Linked DNA regions of Oryctolagus cuniculus. The protein of the gene in region 1 purifies or fractionates together with the protein of each later gene. This does not show direct contact. Links are inferred from orthologs where the notes say so. Each region holds a gene or a part of one and is shown in the gene's direction. Other genes may lie near its edges.

What was found.
Region 2: the proteins of RETREG3 (region 1) and REEP4 purify together in Homo sapiens (affinity purification with mass spectrometry; 3 studies listed by BioGRID and IntAct, with this or other methods). This does not show direct contact. The link is inferred for Oryctolagus cuniculus from reciprocal best matches to the Homo sapiens genes RETREG3 and REEP4.

Annotation. Positions count from the first base shown.
Region 1 is NC_091448.1:20,271,974-20,283,060, forward strand, and holds the start of RETREG3 (reticulophagy regulator 3), read left to right. Parts: upstream 1-3,592; 5' UTR 3,593-3,711; coding exon 3,712-3,950; intron 3,951-11,087. Other genes in the region: tubulin gamma-1 chain, read right to left, coding at 276-402, 740-819, 1,064-1,132, 2,546-2,713, 2,916-3,028, 3,304-3,352. UniProt on the Homo sapiens protein: Endoplasmic reticulum (ER)-anchored autophagy regulator which exists in an inactive state under basal conditions but is activated following cellular stress.
Region 2 is NC_091439.1:1,164,147-1,175,572, forward strand, and holds REEP4 (receptor expression-enhancing protein 4), read left to right. Parts: upstream 1-4,239; 5' UTR 4,240-4,459; coding exon 4,460-4,491; intron 4,492-5,246; coding exon 5,247-5,319; intron 5,320-5,749; coding exon 5,750-5,826; intron 5,827-5,911; coding exon 5,912-6,032; intron 6,033-6,118; coding exon 6,119-6,232; intron 6,233-6,501; coding exon 6,502-6,643; intron 6,644-6,752; coding exon 6,753-6,907; intron 6,908-7,000; coding exon 7,001-7,066; 3' UTR 7,067-7,408; downstream 7,409-11,426. UniProt on the Homo sapiens protein: Microtubule-binding protein required to ensure proper cell division and nuclear envelope reassembly by sequestering the endoplasmic reticulum away from chromosomes during mitosis.

The DNA of each region.
Region 1 (11,087 bases):
CTATGAGTCTGCTGTGTATCCCGCTTCCCATGTTGGATCATTCTCTCCTTTTTAATTCTATCAGTTAGTATTAGCAGACACTAGTCTTATTTATGTGACCCCTAGACACTTAATCCTATCATTATGATCAATTATGAACTGAAACTGATCACTTTGACTAGTGAGATGGCATTGGTACATGCCACTTTGATGAGACATAACAGACATTTTAAATACACGAAAGTGATTAAATGGACAGGGGTTGGGAGTGGGGACAAGTAGACACCAGGACTCACCACGCAGTCCGCATTCTGAGTCAGCCGCTTAAGTGTGAGGAGCGAGTTGTAGGGCTGGACCACCACGTCGCTCATCTCGTCCTGGTTGGGAAACACCGAGTAGGTCTGCACCAGCTTCTTGGGGTACCTGAGGGGGGCAGGAACAGAGTATCCACGCAACAGATCGACGCCGCTACTGGTCCACAGGGAAGCAGATGGGGTCCCGAGACACAGAGAAGGGAGACTTGACATTGAAACCCTGCAGCCCGAAAGGAGGAAGGGCAGAGAGACACCCTGGTGCCTAGGGTTCCAACTCCCAACCTGGCCACACCCTCTGGACCTTCGGCCAGGGCCCAGATTCTACCCACTGCTGGGAGTGCAGTTGGGTTCTCAACAGTGGCTCCACTCTCCTCACTAAACACAGCAAGGCTCTGCCCGCTGCAGCGGACGGGGAGGCTTCCCCGCAGGGCCTCTCGGGCTCCTACCTGTCATTCAGCCGTTCCAAGAGGTAGGAGCCCAGGCCAGAGCCTGTCCCCCCAGCGATGGAGTGACACAGCACGAAGCCCTGCGTGAAGAAGGGGCGGAGTCCAGGATTTCAAACTTGATCCATCCCATCATTTCTTGGATTCCTATCTTCTCAAGCCCTCCCTTTCCTTCCAGTGCCCTTACAGCTTGGGGGACTCTGCCTTGTCTTCGGGAAGGCCCGTGGCTTCTGTCCAGTGCAGAGGGCACACACGTGGGTCTTGTGCCCAACAGGGGCTCGTCAGGGTGCTACCGAGCCTTCCCACCGGCTCTCCTGCGACACTCACCTCCAGACTGTCACTGCCATCCGCCTCCCGGTCTATGATGTCAAAGATGTCCTCGTGGATCTTCTCTCCCTGTGCAGACACGGGGAGGGTCAGCGTGCACAGGACTGAGGGACAACACCGCTCACACAGCAGCCATCCTCAGTTCCCCTCCGGTACCACCGAGTCTGTTTCGGGAGCGCAGCTGCCTTTTTACCTGCCTCGAGAGGCTACACAGCACGGAGGTCACAAGTCCTCCACTCTGATTACCTGGGTTCACACGTTACCTCTTGTCCCATGCAGCTAAGTGACTCCGGGCAGGTTACTCTGCCCTTTTCTGGACCTATACAATGGAAGGAGTAACACAGGCCCACAGGCCCTTATCTACAGTCTTTGGAACTGGGGCCAGCGTTGTGGTGCTGTGGGCCAAGCCTCTGCCTGCGACCCAGCATCCCGCAGTCTCAGCTGCTCTGCTTCCCATCCAGCTTCCTCCTAATGTGCCTGGGAAAGCAGATGAGGGCCCAAGCAGTTGGGCCCTTGACACCACGCGGGAGACCAGGGTGGAGTTCCTGGCTCTTAGCTTCAGCCTGGACCAGCCCTGGCTGTTTGTGACCATCTGGGGAGTGAACCACAGGAAAGATCTTGGTATCTCCCTCCCACTACTGGCTCCTAGCTTCCGTCTGGCCCAGCTATGGCTGTTGGGGCAATTTGGGGAATGAATCAGTGGATGGAAGATCTCTCTCTACCCATCTCTCAATGATACTCTGCTTTTCAAATACATTTTTTTTTTTTTTTGACAGGCAGAGTGGACAGTGAGAGAGAGAGGGAGAGAGAGAGAAAGGTCTTCCTTTACCGTTGGTTCACCCTCCAATGGCCGCTGTGGCTGGCACGCTGCAGCTGGTGCACCGCACTGATCCGAAGCCAGGAGCCAGGTGCCTCTCCTGGTCTCCCATGCGGGTGCAGGGCCCAAGGACCTGGGCCATCCTCCACTGCCTTCTCGGGCCACAGCAGAGAGCTGGCCTGGAAGACGGGCAACCGGGACAGAATCCGGTGCCCCGACTGGGACCCGGATGGGGTGCCGGCACCGCAGGGGAAGGATTAGCCTATTGAGCTGTGGCGCCGGCCCAAATACATTTTTTAAAAACCCTATAAAATAGCCTGTTTCCACTGAGGTATGTTTTTTGCTGCTAAGTGAGTTATAAACCTGCACTTTCTGAGTTTTCTGGATTCCGGAAAGGCAGATCACATGCTGTGGGCCTGTAGTGCCCATCTCTGGAGGTGCTGGGAGCTTTACATAACCAAGCACATGGAAAGCGCTTGGAAGAGCCTGGCAGGTAGGACTACGGCTGCTCCTCATGATACCTGTGTCACACGTTTAACCCCATAGCCTGTGTCTCTCTCCCTCCAGCGCTCACACATCCCTGGTCTTTCTCCATCTCTCTGGGAAGTCACAGGGCTTCTCCCCACGTAGGGAGCTGTAGGTGGTGCCAGGGAATAGCAAATGACCTGGGAGAATCCACTGGCCCAGTTGTTGCCAGCTCCTCCTCCGTGCTCAGCCAGGTAGATGTTCTCCGGGTTGTAGAGCTTGGCGTAGGGAGAGTTGAGGATGGAGTGGATCACCCGGGGCTCCAGGTCCAGCAGCACGGCCCGCGGGATGTAGTGCTCATCATCGGCCTGCCAGCGAGAGGCCGGGAAGGGGCGGCCCCGTCAGCCGGCGCCACCGCCGGCCCAGGCCCCAGTCCAGTCCCACTCGGGCTCCTGCCGGGCCTCCCTCCCCGAGCCAGCCGCGGGGCCCTGTGCCCAGCGGGCTCCCCAGCACCAGCCCCTGCCCCGTCCCTTCAGGCCCCCGGGGTCCTGGCCCAGCCGCCGGGGGCACCTGGTAGAAAAAGACGTCCTTGCGGTCCGTGCCCTCGGTGGCGAACTCCTCCACGATGCCCTCGGGGCTGATACCATGCTCGGCGCACAGCTGTTTCCAGAACTCGAACCCAACTGGGGGAAGAAACAGGATATGTGGGTCTGGGCAGGTTCCGATTGCCAGCTGGGGGACCGAGCGCCTGGGAACAGGGGTCAGCGTGAGGACTCGCCCGTGTGTGGGGAAAAGGGCTGCACGTTCGCGACCGGGCAAGGAGGGCCCCTCGGGGTAGGGCAACCGGACCCTGGGTCAGGGACGTCCCGCCTTTCGCAGAATTACGATTCTGGGAAGGGCGGCGGATCCCACGGAACCTCAGCAACCCGGCGAGCGGACGGGCCGGAGGGTCGCTCACTCTGATTGCCGCACTGGCCCAACTGTAAGGTGATGATCTCCCTCGGCATCGCTCCTCAGGCACCGGCGTTGCAGCCGCTCCCGCCAGCAACGCCGCCGCTAGTCCGCCCGCTCGCCGCAGGACGCAGGCGCTGCACACCCGCTCCACCCGCGAACTTTCTGCGCTCCAATGAGAACTTCCTTATTCGTTTGGCTTCAGCCGAGCAGACTGCGCGTGCGCCGCTCCGGCCCGGGCTCGGCGCGCTCTGACGCTGCGTCCTCCCCGCCTCCCGGCGGGCGCGGGCTGGCGCCTGTGCGCAAGCGCGCGGGTCCGGAGGCCTGCCTCCGCCGCCAAGGCGCGCGTCTGCGCAGTCGGTGTTATTGTGACTGTCGGGCCGCGGCCCCGGATGCTGTGGCTGCCGGGGGGGAGATGGCGGAGCCAGAGGGGGTGGCCGCGGCCCCGGGCCCATCTTCTGGGCCGGCTCTCCGGGGCCGCCGCGCTATGTCAGGCTCCTGGGAGCGGGACCAGCAGGTGGAGGCGGTGCAACGGGCCCTGGTGGAGGTGCTGGGGCCCTACGAGCCTCTCCTGAGCCGAGTGCAGGCAGCCCTGGTGTGGGAGCGGCCGGCCAGGAGCGCCCTGTGGTGCCTGGGGCTGAACGCGGCTTTCTGGTGAGAGAACTGGACCCTCGGGAACTCCCCGAGGCGCGAATCCGTCAGGTTTCCGTAGGGCGCTGCCTCTTGCCTGCCCTGTTGTCCTCGCTGCACTGGCCCCTTCTGCACTTGCCTCTCTACCTCGCCCCCTTCCACTGCATCCCGCCTCCAGGCTTGGGCGCCCCGGTTCCCCCCGGGGGCCCTTCCAGCTGTCTCCCCTGCTTGACCCGCACCCGCGCCCTCGGCCCGCACACCCGGCAGCAGCTGCGGGGACGCTCTCGAGCCGCTCGCTCTGTGCGAGGGCGCCTTCCTAGCTCGGGAGCGCTGTGGTCCTCTGAGACCATCGCCTCCCCTTCCCCGTCTGCTCAGGGGCGCCGCGCAGACCGGCCCCGGACACAGTCGTTCCTGTCGGGAGTGGAGGCAGGTCTTGCACGGGCGCCGGATGGAGGTGTGGGGAGCAAACAGGCTGGAGCGCTTCGCGTGAATTAGCATGTTCGAGGTTTGCTCGCCCACTTCTGGAAGTTGGTGAAACCCGCGTCTCGGTGTGAACCTCCAGAGCTTTAAACAAAACAGAGACACCGATGAGCTGGTGATTGTGGGGGGGACGCGGGAGGGAGGCGTCCTCAGCCAGCATTTGTAAGCGAGCAGGTGGAGGGTAGCTGATGGTGTGTGCGCGTTACCAGAGCCGACACTGGCACCGCTGCGTCCTGCTCTCCGAACAACTCCTCTCTGGTCACCTGCAGGGGACTTGTGTGTTCATAGGCTGTACCGAGCATAATTTGAACTTAATAATAACTAAGGAGGTATTACGGATCCAACTCCAGGGGAACTGGCATGGACAACTGAATGAAAACCATTTGGGACAAGCCTGAAACAAAGTGTGTGTTTTTAAAGCTAGCTTTCCAGTGGAATTCTCGATTTTCGAGTTAAAGCGTGTGAGCTGGAGAGCAAATAATTCCACGTTCGTTGGCGGGGAAGGCAGTGTTCAGCTTCGAAGCGAATCCTCTCCCAGTCTGCAAGAGCCCCAAGTTAAAGGTGTCAGAGCTGTCTCTCGCAGATTTGTTGCCTCCAGGGCCCTTAGCAAGCTGGATGACAAACTTTCTTCTACGGTAGTCACTGTGTTTTGGTGATGCTTCTTTGACCTCCCCTCCCCCACACGAGGGACCCACTTCCTTCCCCTCGATGTCTAGCTCCTCATTCCGGGCGTTTGATACCTCTCGGGAGAACGTTAGTTCTCATAAAACGAATTTGTGTCAGTATGACTGGCTGATGGGAAAAAAAAATCTTCATGAGGATTTAAATGAGTTTTTTTTTTTTTTTTTTTTAAGATTTATTTATTTGAAAGGCAGGATTACAGGGAAGGAGAGAGAGAGACAGAAACAGAGATCTTCCATTCGGTGGTTCACTCAAATGACGGCAATGGCCAGGCTGGGCCAGGCTGGGCTAGGCTAAAACCAGGAGCCAGGAACTCTATCTGGGTCTCCTACATGGACGCAGGGGCCCAAGCACTTGGGCCATTATCTGCTGTTTTCCCCAGGTGCGTTAGCAAGGGGGCTAGATCAGAAGCCCAGCAGCTGGGAGTTGAACCAGTGCGCATATGGGGTGCTGTGTGGCAGGTGGTGGCTTAACCTGCTACAGCACACGGCAGCCCCTTAAATAAGTTTTAAATCTTTTTTAAAAAATGTATTTATTTGGGGGCCGGCACCGTGGCTCAGTTGGTTAATCCTCCGTCTGCAGCATCGGCATCCCATATGGGCACCGGGTTCTAGTCCCAGCTGCTCCTCTTCCAGTCCAGCTCTCTGCTGTGGCCCGGGAAGGCAGTGGAGGATAGCCCAGGTGCTTGGGTGCCTACACCCTCGTGGGAGACCGGGAGGGAGCACCTGGCTCCTGGCTTTGGATAGGCGCAGCGCCAGCTGTAGCGGCCATTTGGGGGTGAACCAATGGAAGGAAGACCTTTTTGTCTGTCTCTTTCTCTCACTGTCTATAACTCTGTCAAAAAAAATGTATTTATTTGTTTACTTGACAGGCAGAGTTATAGAGAGGGAGAGACAGAGATCTTGCATCTGCTGGTTCACTTCCCAAGTGGCTGCAATGGCTGGAGCTGGGCTGGTCCGAAGCAAGGAGCCAGGAGCTTCTTTTGAGTCTTCTGTGTGGTTGCAGGGGCCTAAGCACTTGGGCCATCTTCCACTGCTTTCCCAGGAACACAAGCAGGCAGCTGGATTGGAAGTGGAGCAGCTGGGACTCCAACTAGCAGCCACATGGGATGCCAGCATTGCAGGCAGCAGTGTTACCTGCTACACCACAATGCGGGCCCTGAGTTTTAAATTTTTATTTATTTTTATTTGAAAGGCAGAGGGATCTTCCAACCTCTGGTTCACTCCCCAATTGCCTGCAGTGGGCCAGGAACTGGGCCAGACCAAAGCCAGGAACCCAGAACTTAACCCAGGCCTTCCACATGGATGTCAGGGGACTTGAGTCCAGAGTGTGCATTAGCAGGAAGGTGGAATTGGGAGCTGAGCTGGGATGCAAACCCAGGTTGTCTGATATGGGATCAGGCGTCCCAAGCAGCGTCTTAACCTCTGGGCCTAATGCTTGCCTCTGATTTAAATGAATTTTAAACCAAAACTTGATTAATGCAAATAAGCAGTTGTTGGCATAGATGTTGTTTCTGAGGTGGGGGCTTCACACATGCCTTTCCTGAGAGGTTTCTGAAGCAGACGTGAGGTGGAGGTTTGCCTGCAGGTAACTGCTCTGCCTGGGCCACCCCTTGACCTTTAGTTTGCTGGCCGTGGGTAGGATGTCCTCAAGCTTACAGTGCTGTTTAGACTCTCACCCAGAGCCCCTTTTTGTCCTCCTGACTCTTAAAGCATTGCTGGCATCGGTCTTTATCATTGGCCTTGCAGCTGGGTATCCCGAACACCATACTGGCTACATTCCCATCACACCCCAGGAAGGTGGGGAGATATGGCGAAGTGAGGGCGTGACTTGAGGGAGAAACAAGAGTTGTGGGTTTTTTGTTTGTTTGTTTTGGTTTTTAGTTTGATTTATTTATTTGAAAGGCAGTTACAGAGGCAGAGGCAGAGGCCGAGAGGGAGGGAGGGAGGGAGGGAGGGAGGGAGAGAGAGAGAGAGAGAGAGAGAGAGGTCTTCCATTTGCTGGTTTACTCCCCAAATGGCCACAACGGCCGGAGCTGCGCTGATCCGAAACCAGGAGCCAGGAGCTTCTTCAGGGTCTCCTGTGTGGGTGCAGGGCCCAAGCACTTGGGCCATCTTCCACTGCTTTCCCAGGCCAGAGCAGAGAGCTGGATCGGAAGTGGAGTAGCCAGGACTCGAACTGGTGCCCATATGGGATGCCAGCACAGCAGGCAGCAGCATTACCTGGAACTCCTCAACGCTGGCCCCTCTCAGGCATTTTAAATGTTTAGGAAAGGGAGGAGCATCAACTTGGACTAGAAAAATCAAATCTGAAATGCTTCACGGTTCTTTCATTATCTGTTGTGAGTAATGGCACATCATTTACTGGGGTGTTTTAGGCATTTTTGAAACATTAGAAGATTGGATAGGAGTCAGATTCAGGTGGGTATCTCTTACCTCTCAGTGCTCCGTGTTCCCTGTCATGGCTTCCTGTACCTGTGTCTGTGCCCCCTTCCATCTTAAAAACAAAACCGTCAGAGCTAGAGATCGGCTCAGGTCCCAGCAGCTGGAGTGTTTCAGTGCTTTCGTTTCGTTCTTTCTATCTCTCTGGTTGCAGAGCAAGTACGGTATGGTAAATTATCAGAAATCTTCCCGCCTGGGTTACTTCTGGTCACTCAGCCTCTGTTCTTGGCTCTGGACTGATCGCTTGCATTTTCATTAGCCTCCACCCCAGCTGTAACTGAGAGACCTGGGGGAAGAACTCCACAGCCAGCGTGCGTCCTGGCAGGATCAGGAAAGAACAGGTTCAACTAAGTCTTGGGTGTTGGGTCATACTCCTGGCTGTCAGGGGAGGGCAGACGAGCGCTGGACAGGAGCATGAGTTCCAGGCCCCCTGCTCCCCTTCCGCTCCGGCAGGGCTGGGCGACCACCAGCTCCTTTCCTTCCTGTGATCCTGGGTGGGCTGTGAACTGGGGATCCTGACAGCAGTCTGCAGGCTGGGCCCTGCTGTGCTGTGCTGTGCTGTGCTTCTGGGGACTGGCGGGCAATCTGTTGTTTCCACAAATGAAAAAAAAGGGGGGCCCTCTTCCCTCTAAAAAACTGACTTGAATGATTAAGGGTATACAAAAATTGTGTTTTAAAAGGTTAGAATTTGGATGAAAAACAGAAGTGGGGAAGAGGAAATGGACGATTAGGGCCACTTAAGTGTGATTTCTGTGGGAAGAAACAGTTACTCGTGGAATTGTGGATGGACACAGCTGAGCAGGTGTCCCTGATGGTGGGTTTGGAGGGCTTCTGTTGCCCTGGGCAGCGGGGGCCTCCCTAGGCGGCCTCGGTTTAGTTTGCGCAGGTCGGCTGTCCTCGTTGCAAGGGTGCTGCTTTCTCTTCATTAGCATCCCGCGGGGCAGGAGCAGCGAGGTGGTTTCATTTCTGGTTTTGTGCGAGCAGCAACTATCATTACGTGATGTAGGCTGGGTTAATTCTTTGCTGCTAAATCACCAGTGACTGGTTCATTAAGCAGGCAGTGACAAGTGCAGTACAATAATGGGCCGACTGTCCCTGTAGGCTGGGAAGCTTTGTTCTGAAGTGCCACTGAGACACTCGCTCTGCCCTAACAAAGGGACCAAGAAATGCCATCTTCTTTGCTTTGCTTGAAAACAGGCATTTGGCCATCTCTTCTGATTTTAATGAACCCTAACGTACCTGCACTAACGGTCTGGAACTGCGGTATATTAACTAGAAAATAGTGCATTTGGTCCTAGAATGTCTCACAATCTTTCTGGATACCAGGTTGCTCTGCTTCCTTAGAATGATAGTTTAATTGGGTTTTTATCCCCTTTCAAAGTGGAGGTGCAGTTTACAAAAGGGGGGAAATCAGTGATTATCTAAGATTTCACTCTTGGGAGCAATTAAAAAATTTGAGTGGCAATGAGTTTCTAATTTCTGCGTATCCAGTTTGAAATGTGATAATATTTAATTCGGCAAATACGGTAAAGTGGGCCCTGGCTGGCAGGAACTTCAGTTGCAGCCTTCCTCAGTAGTCTGGCAGCTTGTGCGGGGATACTTTGAAAGTTCATAGCTTTTCCAGGGCTAGGGACACGAGTCGTCGGTGCATAAGGGTTTCTTTTGGGGTGATGAAAATGTTCTAACGTTAGATAATGGTGATAGTTACACAGCTCTGTGACTATACTACAAACTGTTGAATTCATGTAATATGGTGAGGTTTACCGAATGCAGTCTCTGCCAATAAAGCTGTTATTTTGAAAAGTTAATGCCTTTTGAGTCAGTAATTCCTCTTAAGGTAGTTAATCACAGGGACAGAGATTCCTGCTCAACAAGATGAAGTCCAGCTTTTCTTCATTATATCAGAAACTGGAAACATCTGAGTTTAATTAGGGACTTTAATGTTATATACATAGTGTAGTCATTTTAAAAGTTCTTCATGCTTTTCTGGCAACGTGGAAAAACATGTCTGTGTATTATGAAGTGAAAAGGTTTTAAAACCAGGTATGTCATTTACTTCCACAGTGACCTTATATATGGATTTTTTTTAATGACGGGAATAATCTCTGCCCACATTTTAGAGTATGTGGGTGACGGTCTCTAACTTTTAGGGATGGGCTAACATGTACCCTACTTAAAGTTTTTCTGATTTATGGCCAATTTTGTGTCTTCTGATTCTTTTTCCACGCCCTCTGTATCATTTTGAGGCAAATCCTGGGTATAATATCATTTAATCTGTAAATATGTCTGAAAAATAGGCTTTTTAAAAGAAACTACTACCATCACCACAAGTGAAAATACTAGCAATTTCTGGTCACAGTTCAGCTGTCCTGTTTTCTCATTAATGTAACTGATACTTTGGTTTTTTAAAAACCAGCTTGAGTTGGGAATCAGATGCGGCCCCTGCGCTGTGCTGGCGGCTGTCATGCTGACGAAGCCCTCGGTCCTGTGACGCGTAGCACCGACTGGATGTGCTGACTTTGCCCTGTGGCTTAGCCACGCTCCCTTCTGCTCTGTAATTCCCTGTAAATGGCAGTTGGAGCTGAAGGCTTGATCAGATGCAGGTTCACAAAAATATTTTTTTGGCAGAGGACTATTTCATAAATAGAGATGTACTAATTTCATTTTTATTTTTTCTTGTTTCCTTTAGAAATAAGAAAAAATAAACCTTAATGACAAATAAAAGGAGATGAGCCTACCATGGATAGAAGGCCTACTGGGCTGTGGCAGCCTCCAGTTAAATGGGTCACATATGAATTCCAGAGTTGACGTATTTACGGTTGTCTTCACTTGGAGAGTTCTCATGCTGATAACAGTTGCTGGAAAATGTTTTACTTGTTGTCTTTTTTTTAAGATTGATTGATTTGAAATTCAAAGAAGAGGTGGATTTATTGGTTTCCTCCTCAGATGGCCACAACAGCCAAGGTTGGGCCAGGTCAAACCCAGGAGCCAGGAACTCCATCAGCGTCTCCCATATGGGTGGCAGGGGCCCAAATACTTAGGCCATCTTCTGCCACCTTCCCAGATGCATCAGGAGGGAGCTGGGGCTCCCATATGGGATGCCAGCATCACAGGCCGCGGCTGACCCCCCGGGCGGCATCATGGCCCTGCCTGTTGTCCCATCAGAGTTCTGCACTGCCCTTGAGCTTTTGCCTGCGGGAATAGCAGTTGCAGGGCTGCCATCCTTCCTTACATCTTGTCCTGGTGCACAGTTGCAGAGGTGTTTTTTTTTTCCCCAACTGGTGCACGCTCAGCTTACTTCTGTAAAGTGACAAGCATGATATGACATTGTATCCAAAACCTCATTCTGAGGTTGATATCCCCATTCTGTTTAGGAATCCTACATTTAGGGGTAGGAATGGAGCACACACTTCCCACGTTACTTGGTGTTTGACAGACCCCTGCGGGTAATGGTCTGAGTACCTTGGAGGGGCCAACTCTAGCTCTTGGAGATGATCTTTCCATTAATTTTTTATCTATTTGGGAGAAGCTATTTTCCATAGAAATGTTATTTTATACC
Region 2 (11,426 bases), on another chromosome or scaffold:
AGCTTTGTCCAAACCCTCCCTCGCCACTCATTGTCTCAGGCCTCCTTGGATGTCATCCCGCCAACCTGCTTCTCACGCCCTTCTCGTGTGGCTGTAAAACATCTTTCCATTACACCACCCCCAGCCCAGGAACCCGCCTCCGCACCCTTGTTCTGCAACAAGTCCACGCCCCTCTGCCCAGCATTAATGTCCCACTGTATGCGTCCAGGGCCCCTTACCATCTCCAACGACGATGGAGGTTAAGACAGCTGGGGATAAAAGGGGAGGGAGGGAGGAGTCAGATGCGGGCTGTCATGGGAATCCAGCCTACGAGCCATCTTTTCATGGGAAATACATATGAGAAAACTGTGCATGCATTTCACATTTTGCATGCATCCAAATAGATGTATCATTTAATTCCATTTTCCCACAAACATTTTCTAAGATCTGCGTGTGAGTAGCGGAGGTCTTGGGAAAAGCACACAGGCATTGTCTGGCAAAACAGGGGCATTGTTGCACGGTCCCTCCCTCTCCACCCAAGGACTTGAGCACGTGGAAAGCTGAGCCAGTGACAGGATGGGGAAATGATAACCCCTCAGGCAGGGGTGCCCCGCTGGGTGACCTGGGGCAGGTCACTTTCCCTCTCTGGGCCCCCAGGGACCCTTTCCATTTTCAGGTGTCATTTGCCATGTGGCAAGCACCTGTGAGCAGTGCTGCACAGGGGAAGGAGACTCGAGGTGACAGCCCGGGGGTCACTCTGTTCACATGCTGTGCAGTGGCTGTCACGCTGCGCTCTGGGGTCTAGCTTGTGAGCATGTGGACTTAGGCTTGGCCCCTTCACTTCATGTGAGATCTCAAGGCAGGTCAGCCCTTATGCAAAGCAGATAACAAAACCCATTTTCTGGAGTCCTGATTCTACCAGCTCACTAGCTCCTGACACTTAGCCTATGTGGGTCTCAGTTTCTCCACCTACGAGATGGGTATAATCATGGGATCTACTGGACAGCATCATTCATCACGAGATTTAAGGGCGTTGAATATATATCCATATATGGGAGCCCCTTAGAATAGTGTGCCTGGCACGTAATGTGACTCCTATTGGTCCATGGGAAGCTAGGAGGTGCAGAGGCACACAGAGAGGGCAGCTTTGTGGGAGTGGACAGAGGAGTGGCCAGCTGCGGGCAGGGGCTCCTCGTCCCTCCCCAGTCTCAGAGCCTGCGAGCTTTACGTCCTCTCTGGCCTCAGATGCCAGCCAGCCTGCCCCAAACCACTCCTCGTGAGCGGGTGTCTGCTCTGGGTCGCTGCCTCCTTCTACCTCGCTCGTGTGCTCTCGGCTTCGCAGGCACCCCTCAGTCTTCCCATCCTGGGAACGCCTGCACTGTGGCGTAGTGGGCTAAGCCTCTGCCTGCAGACCGGAACCCATACTGGTGCCGGTTCAAATCCCAGCTGCTCCACTTCTGATCCAGCTCTCTGCTATGGCCGGGAAAAGCAGTAGAAGATGGCCCAAGTCCTTAGGCCCCTGCACCCATGTGGGGAACCTGGAAGAAGTTCCTGGCTCCTGGCTTCGGACTGGCCCAGCTCTGGCCATTATAGCCTTCTGGAGAGTGAACTGGCTGATGAAAGACTTCTCTCTCTGTCTCTCCCTCTATTTGTAGCCCTACCTCTCAAATAAAATGAATAAAAAATAAAATCTTAAAAAAGCAGGGTTAACAGGCTCCCGGCCTGTGTGCGAGAGAGGTTGCCAGGGACAGTGGGCTGAGTGTCCCAGACACGGCGGCATGTGTTGTCCCGGGGAGAGAGAAAACCGGGAGCTCCTCCAGTGGCTGGGAGGCTCCATCTCTCCCTTGACCTCTGCACGCCCAGCTTGGGCCTGGCTGCCTTGGTCACCTGCCCTGGAGCTCATCCCTGTGTCCAGAGAGCTGCTTAGCAACCCTGTGGAACCAAGCCACTGTGTCAACAGCTCAAGGGCAAAGGCCACGCCACTGCCCAGGAGGAGGTGACGGTCCCCAGTCCCCTGCAGCCAGCCTCACGCTGTTCCGTGCTGAGCCCCTTAGACTTCTGCGGGCACCAGCAGGGAGAGCGGGGGGCCTTCGTATGAGGCACCGTCGCAGCCGGGAGGGCTCCGGGTGGACACAGGTGAGCTGCCTTCAGCAGAGGGGGTCAGGACAGGCCTGTGATGCTGAGGTCAAGGGCAGGTTCCAGAAGGCAGCCATGCGGGAGAAGGCTCAAGGCTCCTGTGCACAGCCACCCCCAGGTCCTGGAGCTGGTGCCCTTGGCCAGTGACACAGCCTCCCCCCCGCCCAGGACACCTGGAGATGCATGAGGCTGGCACCTTCCCCAGGGGATCCGCCGCCCCCACCTTTCTTGTCCCTCCAGGGCGGGGGCGGGGGTCCCGGGCCGGTTTCACTGCTGGCTCTCACACCCAGCACCACCATAAAATTGATGCTAATAAGTAGGAGCCTGTAATCACGGGTGTTTATCTCTCCCCAAGACGCCTCCTGCCTCCTCCGCAGGGCTCCCATCAGGACTAAGCCATCTTCTGCAAGGATGCTCTCCTAAAAAGTCCCCATAGCCCCGAGGCAGCTCAGAGCAGCTTGGCTCCCACCCTCGCCTCAGCGCACCACGGGGAGCGGGGACAGTGTTCCCCCGGTGTTCAGAGGGAACATGCCGGAGGGCCTGGGGTTCAAGTCCCGGCTCCTCTGCATCCAATCCAGCTCCCTGCTAATGCCCACTCTGGGAGGTGAGCAGGCAGTGGCTCAAGTACTTGGCCCCCCTGCCACCCACGTGGGAGACCAGACTGAGTTCCTGGCTCCTGGTCTCAGTCTGACCTGGCCACGGCTGTAGCAGGCATCCGGGGAGTGAATCTGCAGATGGAAGATATCTCTCCATTTCTCTGGCTTTCAAATACAATGAAAATGATTTTTTAAAAAAACTAAAATACAAAAGTTCATGGAGAATGGAGTCACACGCTAACACAGTGGGCATTTGGCTTGGCTATTAAGATGCCGATTGGGACATCCCAGTCCACACCACAGCACCTGGGCTAGCTCTGCCTCCTGGACGCAGCAGGTGACTGTTCCAGTAACTGGGTTCCTGGCCCACAGGGAGACCTGGGTTGAATTTCCAGGTTGCAGGTGCAGCCCTGGCCATTGTGGGCATTTGAGGAGTGAACCACCAGAGGGCAGCTCTCCTCCTCCGCTGGGTATTTTCCAGGAGCTTTACGAACACCATGCCTACACCTTCCCCCAGGGAATGTTTCGGTCCACGTCCCCCAGCTCTGGGGCTCCCTCAGCCCCTACTGCTGAGCCGTCAGGGCTGGCAGCAGCAATGAACTCCACAGGGTGAACTTTGTACAAACCCCTGTTGCTCACTGGCTGGGGCACCTCCTAATGGAAAGATTTCTTTTAAAAAGATGTGCTGTATTGATTTGAAAAGCAGAGTGACAGAGAGAGGAGAGAATCTTCCATCTGCTGGCTCACTCTCCAAATGGCCAAGCGTGGGGGACGGGGAGCTCGGGCCAGGCTGAAGCCAGGTTCCAGGTCTCCCACGTGGATGCAGGGACCCAAGCGCTTGGGCCATCTCTCGCTGGTGCATTAGCAGGGAGCTGGATTGGAAGCGGCTTCCAAGCGGATTGAATTGAGCAGCCAGGACTCAAAACGGGGCGGGATCGGTGGCTTAACCGGCTTCGCCACATGCCAGGCCTACGCACCCCACAACTGGCGCGCGCGCGCTCCCAGCTACTGCTTACCTCCCAGGGTACTGACTGGGCAGGCCTGGGGGAGAAGGTGTGGGGGAGCTGGGGGCTCACCGCCACTCTCTGGAATCACCAGTCAGCCCGAGGGTGGCAGGAGGGAACCCCCAAATCGCCTTGAGTCCCTCGGCTTCGCCCCTTCCCCTCGGTCAGCCCAGCACCCTGGGGTGGTAATGGACACTCAGAGGAGCCTTCTCCCAGCAGGTGCCCGAGGGTCCCGGGGAGAGCCCCCGCCCTCCTCAGACGCCGATTCCGTCTTATTTTACAGGGGAGGGGAACGAGGCGAGAGGGAAACACGCGGAGAGAAGCCGGCCCGCCACCGCACTTCTTCCCGCCCGACTGCCGGCCGTCCTCGGCGGCTTCCGCCCCCTGCACCTGTCCTCCCAGGCAGGAGTCGCCCCGAGGCGCGCGGCCCCTTTAAGGGGCGGGCCTCGCGCCGGAGCAAGCCCCGCCCCTCGAGGCCGCACTGCGCCTGCGCCGCCCGCCGGCGCGCTGGGGTTGGGCAGCGCCCAGCGCCGAGCAACTTTCAAGTGAGTCGCAGACTCCGCCCCCGCAGGCCGGAGCCGGTGGCCGGTGGCCGGCGCGGTGGGACCGCGGCGACCCGCAGGCGCGCAGGCTGCGACGTGCCGGCCCCGGGCCGGACTCCCCGCCGCCGGCGACCCCGCACCTGCGCTGACCGGCGCGGCCCCCACGTGGGCGTGTTCCCGGGGCGCTGCCCTCCCCTCCAGCATGGTGTCCTGGATGATCTGCCGCCTGGTGGTGTGAGTACGGCCGCCTGAAGACACCCCCCCCCCACCGCGTCCCCAGGCGCCGCCCGGGGTGTGGTGGGCCGGGGGCCTGGTGGTGGGTCGGGGGCCCTGCGCGCCTCCCCCCTGCACCGCGAGGGGAACGGAGCTGCGGGCAGCCCGCGCACGCTCGGCCCCCTCCCCTGCCCTCCTGGGCTGCTGGCGACCCCTCCCCCCCGGCCCTGCAGACAGGTGCGTGGGCCGGGGGCCCTGCGCTCCTCCCCCCTACACCGCGAGGGGAATGGACTTTGGGCCCTCTCCTGGGCTGCTGGCGACCCCTTCCCCCAAGCCCTGCAAGCAGGTGTGTGGGCTGAGGGCTGCAGGCGGGCACTGCCCCTTGGCGAACGCCCGGTGATATGGCACGTTGTGGGCTGGGCGGGGGAAGCCAGGTGCCTGCCTCCCAGGTGAGCGAGTCACGTGACTCAGCCTCCTGGCTCTGTGCTGCCCGTGCATCCCTGGCTGGTGGCCCTGGGCCCGCTCACATGGCCGTGGGAGCCTGTTGGGTGGCTGTGTCCTGGCTCCGTCGTGCACCCATGGGCCACCGGTGCAGGCCCGGGCAGGCCGGGGCTGTTTGTAAACAGCGGGGTGGGGAGGTGGCCTCCAGGACACTGACTCAGGCACCTCGGGTTGTGCAAGCCAAGCGGGAAAAACAGGGCCGGCGCTGGCACCCGGCACCCCCTCCAAGCAGGGCAGGGTGGGGCCCCTCACCCACCCTGTGCCTCTTCTTCCAGGCTGGTGTTTGGGATGCTGTACCCTGCCTATGCGTCCTACAAAGCCGTGAAGACCAAGAACATTCGTGAATATGTGAGTGGGGCAGGGGCTGAGCTGGCTGCCCCTCCTCCGGGGCGGGGGACAATGACCCAAGTGCACCTGCAGAGACCAGGCCCGGCCACATGGCCGTGGTGCAGGGGAGAGGGTGCCACCCACCGCGGGGCTCCCGTGGGCAAGGTGTGTGAAGGCTGAGCTGGTCGCCCCTCCTCCGGGGCGGGGGACAATGACCCAAGTGCACCTGCAGAGACCAGGCCCGGCCACGTGGCCGTGGTGCAGGGGAGAGGGTGCCGCCCACCGCCGGGGCTCCTGTGGGCGAAGCCGGCCAGGGGTGTGTGCAGGGCTGAGCAGCACCGGGGAACGCAGCAGTGCAGCAGGGCGGGCTCTGTGGAATCCAGGCTGGGCCAGACAGGGCCAGGCCTGGCTTGGCCGCTGACCCCCGCCCTGCCTGCCCGCCCACCCGCAGGTCCGCTGGATGATGTACTGGATCGTCTTTGCCATCTTCATGGCGGCCGAGACCTTCACCGACATCTTCGTCTCCTGGTGCGGGCATGGGGTGTTTGCGGGGCAGGGGTGGCCCACAGGCCACGCGCGCCTCCCGGCTCACCTGTGCCCCCGCCCCCACCAGGTTCCCCTTCTACTACGAGATCAAGATGGCCTTTGTGCTGTGGCTGCTGTCGCCCTACACCAGGGGAGCCAGCCTGCTCTACCGCAAGTTTGTCCACCCGTCCCTGTCCCGCCACGAGAAGGTACCCGCCCCCGCCCCGGGGACCCCCTCAGGGTTGGCAGAGGCGGGGGCAGGCGCCTGAACCGCCCTGGTCGCCTGGGTCCACAGGAGATCGACACGTACATTGTGCAGGCCAAGGAGCGCAGCTACGAGACAGTGCTCAGCTTCGGGAAGCGGGGCCTCAACATCGCGGCCTCGGCCGCCGTGCAGGCCGCTGCCAAGGTGCCCTGGGCAGCCCCGCCCCAGCAGGATGTGCATACCCCGCCCCGTGCCCCCCATCCTGAGCAGGACATGCAGTCCCCCCACCCCCGCCCTGAGCAGGATGTGCAGCCCCCCCAACCCCGCCATGCTAAGCAGGAGTGACCTTGACCTAAGGTTGCCAAGTTGCCGCGTGTGGGTGTGCTCACAGGCGCATGCACCAGTGGGTGGTGGACGGTCAGCCCCGGCCGGCTCCGCCCCCTGAGTGCCCTCCCTGGCTCCCGCCCACACAGAGCCAGGGCGCGCTGGCCGGCCGGCTGCGGAGCTTCTCCATGCAGGACCTGCGCAGCATCCCGGACGCCGACGCCCCCGCCCCCGGCTACCAGGACCCCCTCTACCTGGAGGACCAGGTTCCCTGCAGGAGGCCTCCCATCGGTGAGTGGGCAGAGGGACGGCCGAGAGCCGTGGCCTCCCCCATGGCTGGCTGCTGGAAACCCCGCGTCAATGCCCGTCCTGGCCTCCCCTGGGCCTGCTCTCCCTACAGGGTACCGGGCCGGGGGCCTGCAGGACAGCGACACAGACGAGGAATGTTGGTCGGACACGGAGGTCGCCTCCAAGCCGCCTGCCCGGCCCAGAGAGAAGCCGCTGAGCCGCAGCCAGAGCCTGCGGGTGGTGAAGAGGAAGCCGCCCACGCGGGAGGTCGGTGGAGGAGGGTGTGGGGAGGGGGAGGGGGCTCTGCCAGCCCTGCCAGCCCTCCCCTCTCACTGGGTGCCTGCTCTCCCCCACCCCCAGGCCACCTCGCGCTCCCTGAAGGTTCGGACAAGGAAAAAGACGGTGCCCTCTGACATGGACAGCTAGGGTCAGCAGAGGCTGGCCTGCTCTTGCCTTGTGCCCTGCAGGGCACCTGTGCCAGCCACCTGCTGGCTGAGAGCTGCTGGTGCCAGGGGCCCTGCGTCAGGGCACCCACACTGTACCAAAGCGGGCTGGCCCACGATCCTATTTATTGCCTCCCCCTGGGTGTGGGACCAGGACCCTCTCTGACCAAAGCTGCCCCCAGCTGCCTGTGTTCATTCCTTCCGAGTGCTTGACAGCCTTTGTCCCAAGGCCTGGTGTGCGTGGTGAGTCCCGGCTGTGTGGTTTGTGTCGGCGAGTGAGGTCAGGCTTGTGAATGTTTTGTTAAATAAATACAGAAAGACCTTGTGTTTTCTCCCGATGGGTCTCCCACGCCTCACATCACACACACTCAGCTGAGCAGCCTGCGGCTGGCCCGGCACAGCCTGGGGTTTGGAATGCGGGGGACACGGAGCCATGGACAGCGCCACGCGGTGTGCTCCCAGGGAGCACCAGGGACACTTGGGGCGGCTGTCTGAAGGGGAGTCGCAGTCTAAGAAGCCTCCAGTTAGGAGGGGATGGGGACGGGGCCTGACCTGTGGGGGTGTGGGAGTAGGCCCTGCAGGGAGAGGTGGGGAGGGAGGCCGGCAGGTGCCTCCTGGGACGCTGGGTTCTCTTACCCGGAAGGGCAGCAGTGCCTTCTGAGGAGTGGCCACAGGAGGGCAGCAGCTGCCTCGCTCTGTTCTGCCCTCAGCTCCCAGGTCAAGGAGGGCGGTGCTGGGAGACTGGCCAGAGCCCCGCCCTGCCGGGCCTGGCTGCTGGCTGGCTGCAGGAACCATGCAGAATCCGGCGTGGCCTCCATTGGCCCTCCCTGCTGTTTGTGGTCACTGGTCCTCGGCCTGCGCCATCCACAGAGCCTCCCCTGCCCCCCCGGGAGCCAGGCTGCTTGCCTGGGCTGGCTGCGTGCCTGCAAGCTCTGGGGTCAGCCAGCGCTGGCTCTGCCCCCGCCACCCTTGGACTCCGCTGGGCTGCACGCCGTGCCCGGGACTGCTCTTCCTTCCTGCTCTGGGTTAAGCAAAGAAGTGGGGGAGAATGAGAGGAAGGGAGACAAGGTGGCAGCCCGGGGAGGCCCGGGGGAGTACGGATTAACTCCTGGCGTGGGGATTATCCGGGGTTTACTTGGAGGTGGCACCTGACCTGCCGGGCGCTTGGGCTGCTGGCGCACTGGTGCTCGGCCGCGTCCTTCGTGGCCGTGTCTCGGGTCCGCGGGGCTGTCTCCTCATCACGTTCATGTTCTCAGACAATGTTGATCATCATCAAGCATCTGCCAGGCCAGGGACAAGTCAACACTGTAGGGAGGCGGGGACTAGTAATGGCCGCCCCGAGCCCCTGCCCTGGCCAAGGGGCACAGAGGACGCGAGTGATTTGCCTGAGGTGGCACAGCTAGTGAGAGAACGAGGCTTTGAACCAGGCCGTCTGGCTCAAGTCTGCACTTAATCACTGTGCAGGCAGGACCAAAGACAACAAGGTGTTTCTTGCCTGGGAGGCAAAGAGCAGGAGGCTAACGTGTATGGTACATCTGTGAAATCCTCCCAACAAGCCAGGCAGGTTGAGGCCATACCCATTTTACAGATGAAAAACTGAGGCTCGGAGAGAGCTGCAGGAACTTGTCCCCAGTCGCTCGGCCCCCGAGCTCCAGGGACGCCGCCTCCTGCTGGAAGTCAGCCCGGGAGGTGGAATGGCGGAGTCTGCCCAGGGGAATTAAAGGCAGAGCGTGTACTGCCCAGGTCAAGTGCAGCACGCATGCAGGAGAAGGGGGAGTTGGGGTGAGGCCTGGGTGTGGGGCGGGAGGGGGCTTCCTCCTCCCGCATTGCTAGGAAGGCTGTGCAGAGCAGGCAGCGAGGGCTCCTGGCTGGGTTGGTGGTGCCCCCATGTTATCCACCAGGGTCTCAGGGTTCCGGGGCTGGGCCTGCTCTCCCTCCTCCCCGCCCAGCTCTCACACAGACACCGTCTCCCCGCGCCCCCCGGGGAGCCCTCTGCCGTCCCCCTGCGGCCTTGCTTCCAGAGGGCACACCGCCCCCGGTCTGGCAGGGACCTCTTTGCGTCAGGCCTTGTACTCTCTCCCCCACCCCAGGGGTCTTCCTCACCATTCTGTCCCCGCCTGGAATACACGGTCTCCCCAAGGGGTGACTGGTGGGTGATGGCGTGTGAGTAGCTCTGCTCACCCCCTGATTTCTGTGCTGGTCACCGGGTCTGACTCCACAGCGAGACCAGCCTCTTGTTGTTTGCTGGTAGGAGCGACCATGCTGGGTGCCTTGCGCTCTGTGGCCCGCCAGAGCCTGAAAAATGCCCTGGGTTTGGTGAATGGCTGACTGCCGTTGTCCAAGTTCCAGGCCATCCGAGGCCAGAGGGGAAGGAGCGACCACAAGTCCAAGGGCTCCACGGGGCGTTTCTGGCCAAGCGGACATGTGACCCCGAGGCTGGGGTGCCGGGGCTTCCCTCTGAGCCGGTCCGGCCCCCAACTTCTACCCAGCTGTCCCGATGGGGCCCCTGTACTCCGGCTGGGTGGGGGGCTGAGGCCAGCGAGTCCAGCCCCTGCAGAGCCACACACCAGGTCCCCTGCAGCCGCCCCTGCCCACCTGGCCTGCCCTTGGCTCGAGCACCTCCCAGGTGTCTCATCCACCTCCCTGTGCTTCCCGGTCTGGGGCTCCTGGGGTCCTGCCTCTGGCCTCCGGGTCATGGCTCACACTGGCCCGCATGGCTGTATTTTTAGCCACCACTCGCAGCAACCTGATGAGGCCTCTGGTTCCAGCACAGCCTTGGCCGGGCCTGGGCCTGGGCCCCGCTCCTGCCCACCTCCAGGGGGGCCAAGTGACCACTCAGGTCTCTGAGCCCCCTCCCCCCACCCAGCCTCAGGGACTGGGGGTGCCCAACAGTTGGGTAGGGGGCGACACCCGGGGGCAGGGAGGAGGGCTGGCTGCCTCCAGCCAGAGCCAGGGACACCAGGGAGAGTCCCTGGCCTTGGGCAGAAGGGAGAGGGCTTTCTCTCCTGGGTGAGAGGGGAGGGCTCCAGACAGGAATTGGGTCAAGGATGTGGGTAGGTGGGTGTGGGGGGGGTGGCCTAGGCCACAGAGCTTCCTCCTGGCTCCCAGAGCATGTCCACACTTCCCCCCCGCCCCTCCCCCAGGTCCTGGGAGAATCCCCCCGGGACTCCCCCTCCCCCGGGGTGGGGGCAGGGTGGGGGGAGGCCAGACTCAGCTGTCTGGAGCATGGAGGGGCTGGGGAAGCAGGGCTAGGTGCCCAGACGGCCGCGTGTGTGGGAGGGAATGTCCTCAGATGCCCTCAACCCGGCAGTCCCCGCTCTGACGTGGGTGCCCCCCCTCCCCGCACGGATTAGTGGCAGCTTTGGCCTGGCTCTCCGGGGCTCCTGTCCCCCGCCCCGCCTGCCGCCCACCCCCGGGCAGGGGGCTGCTCACCCGCCCGAGGGGCACAGGGCTGGCCCAGGTAAGGGGCTCTGGGGATGGTGAGTGCTTCCTGCCGCCGCGGCGCCTGTCAGCGCGTGCAGAGTGCGTGTCAGCAGGAGCGCGTGCCAGCGCGTGAGGGGCCGGGGTCGGTGCGGGCTGGGGCCGTGGCGCCAGCTGGCTTGCTTTTGTGCAGGCATCTGGCATGGTGTCGGGTGCGCCGTGTGGCTTCTCTGTGCGTGTGTCTTCTTCTGTGCGTCTCAGCTCAGCTCCAGCCTCGAGCCCGGAACATCCCTGACAAGGGACTCTGCCGGACCGTGGCCTGGGCTGGGCAGCAGGATGGGGAGCCGGTGAGGGGGTGGGAGGAGGGGGCCTGCCCCCGGCCCCACGAGCCCGGGCCCCGTCAGGAGCCTGTCCTGGGAGCCCAGGTCCAGTGCAAGGACTTAAGCCAACAGGGGACATGGGGAAGGGGAGGTACTGTCCCAATTCCCCTGGGACAATCCCCAACCCCTGGAGGATAATGGCAGCCAGCCCTCGGGCCTCTGGACAGCCCTCTCTCCTATCCTGGCCTCTTCCAGGCTCCAAACTCCAGGAATGCCCACCCCTCAACCCGGCCAGACTCTCCCACAGCTCTGGCTCCCGAAGAGGGAGGCCAGAGGACATGGGGTGGGGTGGGGGACCCCAGGCACACCCCTGCCCGCAGTCTCACCCCAGAAGCCCATCTGGGAATGGGAGGCCAGGCCTAGGGGCCTCGGGCTTCCAGTTCACGTTAGCCTCGCCACCATCTGTCCATCAGTCATCCCCCTCCCGGGCACTCTTAGGCCCCCGGCACCCCAGGGGAGCTTGGGAGGAAGGGAGTGTTAGTAAACAACCCTACCAGCCTGCCCTGCACAGAACCTGCTTCTGACAGTAGCCAAGAGTGGGGG